Oryzias latipes: one gene and its partner. The protein of the gene in region 2 interacts with the protein of the main gene of each other region in a pairwise test. Links are inferred from orthologs where the notes say so. Each region holds a gene or a part of one and is shown on either strand. Other genes may lie near its edges.

Region 1 (2,486 bases), on a different chromosome or scaffold from region 2:
TAATAACTAGAATAATCCAATTTACAGGGTTTAGATATGATTTAAAAAATGTGTTTATTGAAAAAAATGTTTAATTTTGCGATCAAGAGTTTTGGCGGAAAATTGATTTTTTTAATCAATTTTGTTCATTATATGATCTTTTAGATCCAGTTTGTTTTGGCTCAGGTAGGATTAAATAATTAGTTTAATAAGAAATTTTTATTTTCACAATCACAAGTTAGTGCTAAAATTCCAACAATTTTATGACTTTTGCCCAAATTTAAAGATTCAAAAATAAAAACTTGAGATTTCATATTATGTAGAACATATGATTTTTTTACCATATTTTTTTTATAGTGCATCATTCTTAAATCCTTTTTTTAATCTTAAAAGATCAAAAATTTCATGAACACAACATTTTTCTGCAAATGTCTTCGTTATTCTTACTTTGCAAATCCGATAATAAAAGGAAAACCAAACTGTATATTGCAAAAAAAAAAAAAAAAAAAGCTTTACTAAAAAGTATTTTTTGAAGTCTAAAATGTGTCGTAAAACCGTAAACACAAGTGCTTAGATGGATTAAGAACCAGCCACTTGACAGTTTTATGTCAAATCTGGAGTTAAATTAGGAATAAATAATCCATAGTAGAATATAGGCAAACACAACTGACTATTTTGAAATGTTCTTTATTTGATTCAGAGCAAAAGTTTATCATTAGAAAGGCTCCACCCTAAACTTAGACAGAGAAAGTGCTTTCAAAATCACTACAAAGAAAAGCATTTTTTTTTACGAATCTTCCAGTCTGACTGACTTTAACAGAAAGAAAAAAACAAAAATAGGTTGTCTAAAATCGGTACTTTCACTAGCCTACCTTCAGATTGGCTATTTTCTAACTTCATCACCACTTAGTGGAAACTATGGGGTGGATTTGTGCCAGCAGCCGCATCACAGAGTTCCTTCAGGTTCCCTGCCAACCCCTTTGTGTCCTCAGTCGTCCTCATGCTCAAAGAACTCATGGCAACAGACGGTCACCAGGGAGACAAATGTCATGAACTCCTGGAAGTTGCACTCGGCGTCGCCGTCCGTGTCCAGGCTCTCCATCAGGCTGTCCAGCGTGGCCTGGTCTTTGACGTGCTGCAAGGGGGGGGGAGGAAAGGAGAGGGACGGCTTCACTGCGGCCGCTCGGGTGAGTCGAATGTGAAGCCAAACCTTCCGCCGCTCACCCACCGCCATCAGCTCCGGCAGCTCGTCGTGAAGCAGCTCCCTCAGCTCGCTCTTCTTCAACTTGTGCTTGTCTCCTTCTCTCTCCGAGTACTTCTGAAACACAGCGATGATGGTCGCCATCGACGTCTCCAGGTCAGTCATCTCCTCACCCGTTTCTCTGACCAAACTCAATTTTCAAAAGAAAGGTGACATGATTGATCAACTCAAAGTTGGACAAACACATCGAAATGAGTCGATTCCCTTAACACAACACCAACCAGACAAAGCATCAAACATCTGACAGACCGTTTTACCGTTGAGCAGCTGCAGGCGGATTATCCAGAAAGCAGCAGCCAAGGATGGGCTCTGGGCTTTAAGGCGCAGCTGCACAGAGGCGGAGATGCCAGCTGTCGGTCAAAACTACAGGCCAATCAAATCAGTTCCCCCTCCCCTCACTCCACTGCACACCCTGACTCAGCTGGGTTTCAATTGTGCACATCATGACTTCCCATTACGTCTAAATTACCGGTGAAATTAAAGTATTTGGATTAAAAGCAGCTAAAAGAAAAACCCACAAAAAAAGCAGGAGAGTTTTTGTTCTTGTTGTTGTTTAGGATGCTTTTCACTGTCAAATATAAAGCTGGTAATCCTAAACATGTTCCATAAAAGTATTGTGTAGCGTTAAATGATAAAAATTTGTTTTTTAAAAAGAATAATTGATAGATTACCCTATTTTTCTGAGTTTCTTCTTTAAATGTTTTTATGGTTTGAATGGGGTACGACTCATACACAGGTGCAACTTATATGCAGGTGTTACTTATTCTCAGGAGCGACTTATACACAGGTGCAATTTATGTGCAACTGCACTTATACACAGGTGTTACTTATATTCAGGTGCGACTTATATGCAGGAGTAACTTATGTGCAGGTGCAACTTATATGCAACTTATATCCATGTGTTACTTATCCTCAGGTGTAAATTATATGCAGGTGTTACTTATTCTCAGGTGCGACCAATATGCATGTGTTACTTATATGCAGGAGTAACTTATACGCAGGTGCTACTCATACCTAGGTGCAACTTATACGCAGGTTCAATATATATGCAAGTGCACTTATACACAGGTGCGACTTATACATAGATTCGACTTATACAAAGGTGCAACTTATATCCAGGTGTGACTTATACGCAGGTGCAATTTATGTGCAACTGCACTTATACACAGGTGGGACTTATATGCAGGTACTACTTATATGCAGGAGTAACTTATGTGCCGGTTGCAACTTATATGCAAGTGCACCT
Region 2 (3,757 bases):
CAAAGGGGAGGGGCCCCTCCGTCCAGTTCCGGTATACAGTCAGTGGTAACAAAAGAATCTGCAGAGAGGTTTTTCTGAAAATCTTAAATCCTTCAGATCAAACTTGTCTGGGGGGTTTTAAGCCGTGCTGCCAGAAGCTGACCTGCATCAGTCACTCAACCTCTCTGTCCCAGAATGCATCTCTCCTGAAGTGCATGAGTGAGCAGAGGGAAAACGAGTGGATTCGTGCCAGTAAAAGCAGCACATGTGATGCCCGTGTGAAGCTGAGGGAAGCATGTGACGGCTGGGTGATGAACGCCGTCACATGACTCTCCACCTCTCAGAGCCTCAGCAGCAGCGGCTCAACCTCCAGCTGCGGGAACCAGCCGGGTGTCGGCTCCAACGCCAAACAAATCCCCATTTTTAAGAGATCTGTGAGCTAAAAACCCGACGGGAATAATCGTCTTATTCCAAAAGACAACGCGAGCCGTTGTTCCACCAAACAGCAGATCCGAGGACCAAACCCGTTTTCTGAAAGCTAATCTCATCTTAATCCAAGAGGGCGATCCGTGCCGCTGAAATCCAGCCTCAGATTTCTCATTTTCACGCAGAACTCAACACAAAAGTCATGAACTAAAGCAATCAGAACGATTGTTTAAGCAATAATTGACCACAAATCTTGAAAAAAACCTAACAAACTAAATGCAGAGACGCCTGACACTCATGAGGGGATTTGTGAGGTTTAAATTAAACATCTTTAGCAGAAAACGTTGTGATATTTTCTTAGACTAAAATAGAAACACAGCTGTCAGGCTCCAAGCTTCCTTTTTCCAAGGTAAAACCTTTTTTTTCTGCTGTGGAATGAGATGCAGAGTCTTCCTACTATATTCACTAACCACAAAAACAATGTTTACAACAATCTGAATGTAAATAAAATTTGAAAAAAGACAACATTTGAGCAAAATCATAAAAACTTTATGATTTTATCAAACATCTGTTTGAGCGGAGCTTCATTTTTCCAAACTGTGGTTCTCCAGAAAAACCATAAACCAGTTTAAAAAGTGAATACAGGAAACAGGTGAGACAGAAGGGACAAAATGAAAACACGTAATGGCGAAGGGGCGTGGTCTAAGCAGTGCGTTCTTGGTCTTATTTTGTTGTTTGTCAACTGTTTTCATGGTGATTTTATTGAACAGAAGGGAAGCAGGTCACAAGATCAAGTATTAGTGCATAACATTTGTAAAACGTTTCTTAGACAGCGTGACAAGCTAACGTGTGCTTTAGAGACCATGATACTACCACCACCTGTCAGCTTAAAGACCACGCCCTCATTTCCATATAAAGTAATCCTCAACCTTTGAATAGGAGGGCTTTAAAACCAGGTACGGTAAAGAACACGGGCGCTAAAGCCACGGCGATTAAAGGGTTCATTTACAGAACCAACCGAATTCTACGACAGAGTCAGTCACAAAAGTCTGGAGGACATTTCACAGCAAGCCTCCTCCGACTGTAGGTTGAGGCTAGTAAACAGAAGAAGAAGAAGAAGAAGCCCCTCCCTGCAGGCGCAGTGTGAACACCTGGTCTGAACGGTGTGCATGTAGTTTCAGAAAAATAACCTCTCTGGGTTTAAGGAGTTCAGCTGTGTTTGTCCTGAAGCTCGGTTCTGAACAGGTTCGGCTCATCAGAACCTGAAGGTTGATCCAGCAGGACAGAATCCCGATGACCCGTCACGGAATGGACCCCTTCACACCTGGGGTGCTTTTGTATCACGTGACCACGAGAGCAGGTGTTTCATAAGAATTTCAACGCGCGCGAGCGTTAGCCCTCATCGCATCGGCGACGGTCCAGCTGCTCCGGAGTGAGGCGCGTGACGAGGCGGGAACTTACCCTCTTAAGTGGCACGGTGCTTCGGAACCAGTTGTAGTCTGGAGACACCTTGATCTCCTCCATCTGCGGACACAGAGACGGTGACTCAAGTGTGTGTGCGGGGGTGTCCGGGCTCAGCTGCTTCCGCGCGGGGGCAGCTGTTAGCCATAATAGCGGCTAGCTGCTAAACGAACCCCGCGGTAACCCCGTTAACGGCGTAGAAACCGACCGCCCCGCCAGCCCCACTCACCGTGGACGTCACCGTGTCAGAGCCCACGCCGCTGCTCGGTGAAGGGTCACCGTGTCCGGAGACGTTTGTCCATGTCGGGTAGCGCTTGGAGCGGCTGCAGCTCGGTCATGTGATTTTCCTTTCACACACTTCCGCAAGTAGCCTCTCCGGTGCTGCGTTCGCGGTCGCTCTGAAAATCCTGTTCTCCGGCAGTAAGAAAGCCGCTTTGGTTTCTTAAGTCTTGCTTAATTTCTGTTGTCGTTACAGTTTTCATCCTATACAATGTAGCACTCAAATGTATTCAATGTTTGTCTGAATATGGAATCAATAGAAATGTAAGAAGACATTACAGACTCGAGATTCTTTCCACACAAAACCCAACGAATCTCCGAATCCCCGTTTTTCTCAAACGCATCGGTCAAACCTCAAGGTAATTCTTCTCATAATTTTAACTTCAGTCATCAAAATATTTGGATGAAAAACTTTCTAAAACAAACTTAATTCTTGAATGAAATGCGTTTTTGTTCGTAAATTGTTCTGAAATTACAATTCATACAAGTAAAATGGAATAATTTACATCTTCAGTGTGGATCAGTCTTTCATTGAAATCCTGTCTGTTCTCATTTTTTTGTGGTTTAACCTGGACAGGAAACTGAAATGACAAGATGTGTAGATTGGTTCCGTTTCCCAGAGCGGTGTTGGTGTGTCGTTCAGACTTTGGCCCCCATCGGTTCTCCAGCTGTTTCTTTAAAAGCTTCATCTGAAATCGTTTAACCACCTCCAAGTGTGTCTGACGTGACGCAGAGAAGATCAGTTATGGAAGGTTTAAACTGCTTCCTCAGGTCGTCCCCACTGTGAAGGTCAGTTTATTGGAAATGTTTTCTTCCCATTTGGAACTTAAAGGCAGCTTTAAAGCTTGTGAAACATGAGCGTAACCCCAAAGTGAATTTATTTACCCTAAACTGTTTAGCTGTTTAACAAACGTTTGATAATGAAGATAAAAAGGAGGAAAACCACAAAAAGACAACAGTAGAAATGATTTTTTTACCAAACTTTATAAAGTTGAGGGAAGTCCTGGAGCCCCAAACAGACTTAAGGACACATTAAGGGAAGAAGCTGCATCAGATTCTCTTCCAGGCACATCAGCGTCTCAATGACAAACGTTTTGGCAGTGAAAGCTCCAGAAGACAGAAGAAGTGCTTTAAGACGTTGGAATCTCCCATCCGACACATGCAGAACGGTCCTGTGCAGCAGCGTTCTGCACTGCTGAAGGTCTGAAGGATGGACGCATTTGAACTCATTCACCAATGTCCAAAGGTCAAAACCTTAGTGAGGGGGCGGGGCCAGAGCCCAGACCCACTGTGGTTAGTCTAGAACACGTTTGAGTCTCCTGGAAAGTATCAAACGTACAGAATCACAGAGAGCAGAAAATCCCACTAACCAATCCCTGCTCAGAATATGAAAAGCCCCGCCCACATCACACAATTTAAAGTAAAAAAAAAAAGTACCAACAGATGTAGAAATACACAAGTCGTGTATTTCTACTTTTCCCTAAAGGTATAAATGCACATTTGGATGAACGTTTCCGTCCGTTAGTCCTTCAGCTGCTAAGCCGATGTGGAAGTTTGAAAAAGCTGGAAGTTTTCTAAGGTGCTCAGTGTGAAAACACACACAAACACACAC

What was found. The genes of interacting proteins can lie anywhere in the genome.
Region 1: the proteins of spg21 (region 2) and s100b interact in binary tests that used the Homo sapiens proteins (3 or more experiments, as listed by UniProt). The two-hybrid records come from large-scale screens. The link is inferred for Oryzias latipes from reciprocal best matches to the Homo sapiens genes SPG21 and S100B.

Annotation. Positions count from the first base shown.
Region 1 is NC_019860.2:3,716,239-3,718,724, reverse strand, and holds s100b (protein S100-B), read right to left. Parts: upstream 1,585-2,486; 5' UTR 1,498-1,584; exon of another isoform or gene 1,462-1,497; intron 1,371-1,461; 5' UTR 1,346-1,370; coding exon 1,208-1,345; intron 1,115-1,207; coding exon 968-1,114; 3' UTR 651-967; downstream 1-650. UniProt on the Homo sapiens protein: Small zinc- and- and calcium-binding protein that is highly expressed in astrocytes and constitutes one of the most abundant soluble proteins in brain.
Region 2 is NC_019861.2:37,281,099-37,284,855, forward strand, and holds the start of spg21 (maspardin), read right to left. Parts: upstream 2,230-3,757; 5' UTR 2,096-2,229; intron 1,930-2,095; coding exon 1,867-1,929; intron 1-1,866. UniProt on the Homo sapiens protein: May play a role as a negative regulatory factor in CD4-dependent T-cell activation.